Linked DNA regions of Xenopus tropicalis. The protein of the gene in region 1 purifies or fractionates together with the protein of each later gene. This does not show direct contact. Links are inferred from orthologs where the notes say so. Each region holds a gene or a part of one and is shown on either strand. Other genes may lie near its edges.

Region 1 (4,500 bases):
CTACAGAAATAGACAATGCTGATCGTTTACTTATAACTGTCTCTGTGTTTTAGCAGAGGCAATTCTCAGTATTGTCTATGGCAGGGTATTTCTGGAGTTTAGTAGCCGTGACAAGTAGCTGCTATTAAGTTGCTCTGTGTGTCTTCACCCTAAACAGTGACTGTCTTTGTGGATTCTGGCAAAGAAGCTGCTGTAAGATGCCAGATTGCCACTCTGAGGCTGAATTGGGCCAAGTAACTAACAAGTAGATGCTAGCTTCTAGTGGGGAAATGGCATCTGTGATTGCGACATTAGCCCGAGAGTCATACCAATTTCCTTATTTTTACATAGCGGTTATAGAAAAAAAAAATAATCAATAAGAAACCTTCCAGACAATGATGTGCTAATCCTTATGCCTAACAAAGGCTGCAGCTGGGGTAAATCTGTTTATATAGAGAGGGTGTGATTCTCAGTGGACTGGTTGTTTGTTTTCACTGTATCCTTAGAACCAGGAAGTAGAATTTGGCTTTACTTTCAGTTTCAGCCCTTTTAGAGCTTGAGATAAAAAAAACATCTAATTAAAAGGAAAATAGAATGTTCAATACCAACAGATTCACTGCAATAAAGTGGAAAGGGGGTATAGTGCCCTATTTGCTGCCTGTTTTCCTGAGTAGCGTGGTGGGCCCCAGGGGGTTAAAACACCATTCTCTAGGTGCCATGTTTTAACCATGACATTGCTATTAAGGTTCAGATGTGCCTCTGCTAAGGCGATTAAAGGGGACCTGTCACACTAAGAAATAATTCCAAATCATTTTCTATCATGTTAGTTGAGCAAAATAAACTTTACTTACACTATATAATTTTTTTTCCCTTCAGTCTTGGAATTTACAGTCACGGCAAGCAGAAAGCCGCCATTTTATGAACACTGTTATTAAAGGAACAGTAACACCAAAAAATGAAAGAGCTTTAGAGTAATAAAAATATAATGCACTGTTGCCCTGCACTGGTAAAACTGGTATGTTTGCTACAGTAACACTACTATAATTTATATAATAAGCTGCTGTGTAGCCATGGGGGCAGCCATTCAAGCTGTAGAAAAGGCACAGGCACATAGCAGATAACAGATAAAACACTATTGTATTCTACAGAACTTATCCGTTATCTGCTATGTGCCTGTGCCTTTTCTCCTTTGAATGGCTGACCCCATGGCTACACAGCAGCTTTTTATATAAACTATAGTAGTGTTACTGTAGCAAACACACCAGTTTTACTGATAATTGCTGAGTTGACCATTTCTAACAAGACATACTGGAATTGCTTATTAAAGGAACAGTAACACCAAAAAATAAAAGAGCTTTAAAGTAATAAAAATATAATGCACTGTTTCCCTGCGCTGGTAAAATTAGTGTGTTTGCTACAGTAACACTACTATAATTTATATAATAAGCTGCTGTGTAGCCACGGGGGCAGCCATTCAAGCTGGAAAAAAGGAGAAAAGGCACAGGTTACATAGCAGATAACAGATCAGTTCTGTAGAATACAATAGTGTTTTATCTGTTATCTGCTATGTGCCTGTGCCTTTTCTCCTTTGAATGGCTGCCCCCATGGCTACATAGCAGCTTATTTATATAAATTATAGTAGACTTTCTGAAGCAAACACACAACTTTTACCAGTGCAGGGCAGCAGCACATTATATTTTAGTTACTTTTATACACTTTCATTTTTTGGTGTTACTGTTCCTTTAAAGGAACAGTAACACCAAAAAATGTATATATTTCAAAGAAATTAAACTATAATGTACTGCTGCCTTGCACTGGTAAAAGTTTTGTGTTTGCTTCAGAAACACTACTAAAGTTTATATAAACCCTGGTGTGTAGCCATGGGGGCAGCCATTCAAAAGAAGAAAAGGCACAGGTTATATAGCAGATAACAGATAAACCCTGTAGAATACAATGGTGTCTTATCTGTTATCTGCTATGTAACCTGTGCCTTTTCTCCTTTTTTCCAGCTTGAATGGCTGCCCCCATGGCTACACAGCAGCGTATTTATATAAACTATAGTAGTGTTCCTGAAACAAACACCCCAGTTGTACCAGTGCAGGGCCACAGTACATTATATTTCAATTACTTTAAAACACTTTTTTGGTGTTACTGTTCCTTTAAGGCAAGCTTTGTTTCACCCCAAAATCTGCCATCTAGGTGATATCTAGGAAGTGCTGAATGGAAAGTTAAAGTAATTGTAATTAAAAATCTGAGCTGTTAATCATATATTGCCTGCCCCGCCTCTATGCCGGAGGCATAGAGGCGGGGCAGGCAATATATGATTGACAGCTCAGATTTTTAAGTCTATTTATAACAGGTATGGATGATTTAATTAAAAAATTTGGGTTACATGCTTAATTTCTGAAGGACTTTTATTACATATCTTTTTATATGTGCTTCACCTCTTGTATCAGTTATTGATTGCTTGATTATTAATAATAATAATGTGGGTGACAGGCACCTTTACTGTGCCATTAAGGCATAACCTCTCATTGCTGTGAGCCAAGGTTGTGTAAAACCAGTTTATAGTTCTATGAGATACCATTAATTGGTAAAGGAAGTGCCAGTTAGAATACAGGTGCCATTAGCAAACACATAAGAGAAAAGAGAATGAGCACAAGGGAAACCCCACACAACCTATTTCATTCCCACAATAACAAGAAGCCCGAATGCTGTGAGAGTGTATCTAGGCCGGGAGCCAATGACGATAGTGACAGAGACTGGTGGGCGGAAGGCGGAAGGTACACGCATCAGTCCCATAAAGCTTTGCCTTGAGGCATCTAAACCCACCCAAAACCAGCAGGTAAAACCCCACAGCTGAAGCCTAAAGCATCTCACCTTCGCCATTATCCGCAGCGCTCAGCGAAACAAGGAGCAGAAGCAACAACCAAGACGCCTTAGTCGCCATCGTTACAGGAAATAAGTGAGATAAAAAAAAAATAGGTATTTCCGCTTTCCTGTATCCGCGCCGCCATCTTTCTACACCTTGAATGAAGTCAGTGCTACGGATGTATCGCCGGCGTTTGAATGTTCGACGGTGAGTGTACTAATATGGCCGGCCTTGGCATGATTTGGAACTGCTCATGTTATTGCTGCTGCTGCTGCTGCTGCTGCTGCTATTACACCTAGTCATGCATAACTATGGCAATTATGTAAAAAACCTATTCTTGGCTAATATATATAACTTTCACTAAATGAGATATATACCTTATAGATGTATTTGAAGATTTAATTTCTCTGTGACGGAGTGGACACTTATTTACAAGGCCTGGGCACAGGTATAGGGATCAGTTTGGGTGATGTTGGATTAGTGACCCGCTTGACAACTTTTGAGTTTGGTAACCTTAGTCCCTCCATTTCCCAGTGTAGCCCACTTTAGTTGGCAGTGCTGCTACTTGCTATTACTTTGGCGCTACAGGAAGGGCCAGAACTAGGGGTAGGCAGAAGAGGCAGCTGCCTAGGGCGCAACGATTGAGGGGCGCCAGGCAGGAGCCTCTCCTGCCTACCCCTAGTGCTACTTTGTCATTGCCTCTGCCGCTTGTCATTAGCGGCGGAGGCAATGACCGATCTAATCGTCCCCCCCCCTGCACTGCCTCCTGTGCTTTGGCATGCGCATGCGCGGGGAGGTGGGCTGAGTTGGCCGACCGGGTTGCCTAGGGTGCCGGTCGGCTTGGCCGCCCCTGGCTATAGGAGTCCTGAGCCCCGCTTACTATGGGGGACAGGTGCTGTACAGTTCAATGGTGGGCCTCCACCCAGGGGTGATACTGTGAGACCATAACTCACAACCCTGGGAACTTGATATTGTACGTTAATCCTTGACTGGGACTCCACACAACTCCCTGCACCTTGCCCCTCCCTTGGGGTATTTGCTTACCGGCCAGTAGGTGATCCCTTGATAGGAAAGAGACAGACACAAGTGGGTATAGTGAACGAGATGAATCTCTTTATTCAGGGCAGACCTCTCCAGGAGTGGAACACATTCATCAGGGCACTGTCTCCTTAACTTCAGTCTTAGAGAACCTCTCTCCTGTTGGGTTACCCACGGTACTCCCACCAAGTGATCCTACCTAGGACCACCTTTAGGTGTCTAACTCAAAAAATCCAACCTCTAGTGCCTAACGGGAACCCATCTAAGGGGCTCAAGTCTGGGGATCCCTACACCAGTATTCAATTAATATTTGAAGACTACTAAGATTGGAGATAAATATTACTGGTGATGTTGCCAGTAGCAACCAATCAGATCTTGCTCTTGATTTCTGACTTTTAGGTGACAGTTCAAATCTAAATGCTGATTTATTGCTATGGGCAACATCACTAGTGATATTTATCTCCAATCTTAGTACACATGACCCTAAGGGGTATAAGTTGCTCATAGCAGCCAATCAGATGCTTTGCTTTGGTTTTCTAACTGTTGAAATGTAATTGCTGATTGGTTGCCCTGGGCAACATCGCTGGTAACGCTGTACACTGCTTTTTACA
Region 2 (3,822 bases), on another chromosome or scaffold:
AAGACAGGAAGAGAATAGGAGAGGGCTGAATAGAAAGATAAAAAGTAGCCTTTTTAAATTGTGTCAGGCTAAATTGTGACTGTTATATGCTACACAGGCCCAGAAACAAACCTTTGCTCTGTTTTGTTTCTGCACCTACAGACACGGAAGGGGTGGCCAAGCTGAACCAGTGCCCTAGGCAACCTGACAAGCCAACCCACCTACCGCCTCTGCATGAATGAACATGTGTGATGACATCATGGGGGGAGCAATCCCCAATTTTCACACATATATGACTTCTTTATCACCTCTTGTGAACCAGTCCTCCTCCCTGTCCAGAATCCTTCAGTTGTGTACCTACAGTTAGAGGAAAAAGGGCACATGTTTGAAGGACGTATGTCCTTTTTCCTATAGATGTAGGTACACTGCTGAGTCCTGACTAGAGGAGCTGGCTCAACTGTTGTTTGGTTTCTCCCACATACAAGTCAGAACACTCCTTGCTGCACGGCACACACAATGTTACTTTTCTTATGCTTTGGTCTTTTGGGTGAACCAGTTGCTGCCGGGATGCAGTGTTTATTAAAAATACTTCTAAGCTATGTTTCAGAGCACAGGGTTTTGCAGGACATGCCTTGCATGGAACAATTCCTACATTAGGCAGTGCTCCATTCAATAGAGGCCTACATGCCTTCCCCCGCCCCTAACTTGCACATCATTTGCATGCACAACTTAGGGAGCAGAAGGAGGGGCAGCTTGCTCCAGGTCCCCTCTCCTTACCACCTGTGCAGAGAGCAGTGCTGGTGCTACTCTTTGCAGAGTGCTGGATTTGTGATCTGGTGCCCCACAAAGAGAGCCCCCCACCCCGTGGTTGACACCTAAAAATAAAATATACAAGCACTTTAGCTGTGCAACTGAGTTTACATGGGTGATAAGCGGTTTGCATAAGCTATGACAATGTCTTCCACCTAAGAGAAGGGATTCCAACCTATTGATCCAGCCAGTACTATAATGGCAGTGCCTGACCAACAGGTAAGTAGTAAAGAGATCTCAGCTTGTAAATGCAACAAATTTTAAACATTTTTTTCTTTAGTTACTTCTAAACAAAGTTACTATTATACTGACCTTCTCGTCGATCATTTCTAAGTACACGTACTTTTTCAATCCTTTCAAGCAGAGCCCCATCTTCAGCTGTAAAACACGGAGACAATTTTTAAGTATTTATGTAAATTACATGAATCAGTTATAACTGGGTGTCCATGCAAAAAATAAAAAGATAAGTAGAAACATTTCTACAGTTATTAAAGTAAAAAAATTGGCTTATTTAACCAATGTTTTGGCTCCATCCACACAAGTGAGACGTAAACCCAGTTTTTACCAGCACTATTCTTTTTCACTGAATCCTGAAAACAGTTTTTAAGTGCATTAAAAACATATTTTGAGGACAGCCTTTCATATTTAAAGACATTTTGCTCTTCAGTGAAATTCAAACAGAATTATCATAACTCTATATAAATTATTATTATTATTATTTTATTATTAACATTTATTTATAAAGCACCAACATATTCTGCAGCACTGTACAGTAAGTGGGTTTCATACTTTGGATATACAGAGTAACATATAAAGCAATCAATAACCGACACAAGAGGTGAAGAGAGCCCTGCCCAATAGAGCTTACAATCTACAAGGAGAAAGGGTTGTGACACATGGTGTGGGAATGGGCATGACCAGAGTTGTGAGAGGTGTGGCACAGGGTATTGCTTTTAGCAGCACACTGAGGTTATGTTAAACTAGATTAGGGTAAGCTTCTCTAAATAAATGCGTTTTTAGAAATCTCTTGAAGGCAGAGAGATTAGGAGAAAGTCTGACAGATTGCGGGAGCGAATTCCAGAGAAGAGGGGCAGCCCTTGCAAAGTCTTGAATGCGAGTGTGTGAGGAGGGAATGAGAGATTGAGAGTTGAGATGAGAGTTGAGGAGCAGGTCAGTAGAGGAGCGTAACAAGCGGGTTGGATGGTACCTAGAGATAAGTTCAGAGATGTAGGGTGGGGCAGAGTTATGAACTGCTTTGAATGTGAGAGTCATTAGTTTGAATTTTATCCTGAATGGTAAGGGAAGCCAGTGCAGGGATTGGCAGAGTGGCACGGCAGAGGAGGAGCGGTTGGAGAGGTGTATGAGCCTGACATCAGTATTCATTATGGACTGGAGAGGGGACAGTCTTTGGGGGGGAAGGCCAATTAATAGGGAGTTACAGTAGTCCAGGCGAGATATTATAAGAGAGTGAATAAGCAATTAAACTCACCACTATCACTGTAGTCATCAACCAGAATAATTTCCTTGACAAGGTGCACTGGGCTTTTTTTTAATACACTGAAAAAAAATAAAGATATTAGTTAGTGGGTCCCTCTTTCTTACACAAACTGTACTGTCCATGTGTCGGTCACAAAGGGGTGAGGGCCTATGAATTTTTTTTGCAAGGTAAGAAAATGCCATGTGTGCCATTAGAATGCAGTGGTATTGTTATCATTTCACATTATTTTCTTAAGTTTTTTTTTTTTTTTTTTTTTAAATATCATTAAAAAATATCATACCAATTTATGTGCCCAAGTAATGCTCCGAACTTCAGGAATGGAAATGTTGACCCAGCTTACATTTGGGATTACTGGTTTGTGTTATGAACATTTTCTATGATCTCTGTTAACCAGTTTAACTATACCTTGAAATGGATATTAAAAATACCCAACTCAAAAAAAAAAAAAAGACTGCAGTACATTTTTAATTTGAATAAAAAATATTAGATATGCTCTATCCTGCAATGAATCATTGCCCAAGTAAAAAAATATAACACCATCTGGAAAATTATTATGGACACCATTGGACATAAATTAACTATAAACATCCTACCTGATTACTGTGCGGAGTAAGGCAGACCTGGCTTCATTATGAAATGTGATAACAACACTGGTTGCTGGTAAATCAACTCTCCACGTTTTTTTCCGACATCTTCAAAAGAAAAAGAATTCCATGCATCAATATGAATAATGACCTGTAGGGACCCATAGGGTTAAATGGCCCCTATGGCTTTAAATCCCTACAGGTTCAGTTCCCTTAGCTGCTGGGCAGAAGGGAATGTATCTAAGTAAGTTCATTAAAATATGCGTGCTATTGGTTAGAAGGTATGGTGACCACATCCTGCCTCACTTTGGTATAGTGCTGGGAGAGGAGTGGCACTTTTCCTGTTCGCTTCCACCTGAGGAACAGGGTGGATGTGTGCTGTGAGCCCAGGGCATAGGCTCATGCTCAGTGAAGTCAGGGAACAGGGCCCCGTGAGTGAGGCATTAGATAGTGGCAGGTGTAGCTCCTTTTATAGTACACTCTAGGGGACAGATTTATCAAAACACAAGTTCGAATCCCAAATGGGAAAAATTCGGAAATTTCTGAAGATTGCAAATATCACGAAAATGCTTACGAAAAAATTGTATTAGTCACGATAATATCGTATTGGTGATTGAAATTTTCCTACCGAACCACTGTAAACAGCGGCAGAGCCTTTTCGATTTTTTTGCGCGGGTGCTCAAAAAAATTGCGAGACAAAAACTGCGAGAATACGCTCGGAGCTTTCGCATGAACGCTCAGAGCGTTCGGGTCTTGGTAAATCTCCCCCCAAGAGTGTAAGGCAGTTAGGGTTGAGCTAGAATGAGCTACTGCTCCTGAGCTCCTGCATAGGACTTGCAGTTTTGGAGATATCTCTCCCAGGCCACATTGCCTGTAGTGTAGGGATCCAAGTGAATAGGGAATCAGGGTAGAGAATTCCCTGAGGGACCCACTACGGGGTGTGTCACAGAG

The links.
Region 2: the proteins of tgoln2 (region 1) and galnt2 purify together in Homo sapiens (affinity purification with mass spectrometry; 3 studies listed by BioGRID and IntAct, counting the BioPlex papers as one, with this or other methods). This does not show direct contact. The link is inferred for Xenopus tropicalis from reciprocal best matches to the Homo sapiens genes TGOLN2 and GALNT2.

The regions. Positions count from the first base shown.
Region 1 is NC_030679.2:126,816,551-126,821,050, reverse strand, and holds the start of tgoln2 (trans-Golgi network integral membrane protein 2), read right to left. Parts: upstream 2,969-4,500; 5' UTR 2,930-2,968; coding exon 2,860-2,929; intron 1-2,859. UniProt on the Homo sapiens protein: May be involved in regulating membrane traffic to and from trans-Golgi network.
Region 2 is NC_030681.2:52,911,828-52,915,649, forward strand, and holds part of galnt2 (polypeptide N-acetylgalactosaminyltransferase 2), read right to left. Parts: intron 2,980-3,822; coding exon 2,881-2,979; intron 2,347-2,880; coding exon 2,279-2,346; intron 1,168-2,278; coding exon 1,102-1,167; intron 1-1,101. UniProt on the Homo sapiens protein: Catalyzes the initial reaction in O-linked oligosaccharide biosynthesis, the transfer of an N-acetyl-D-galactosamine residue to a serine or threonine residue on the protein receptor.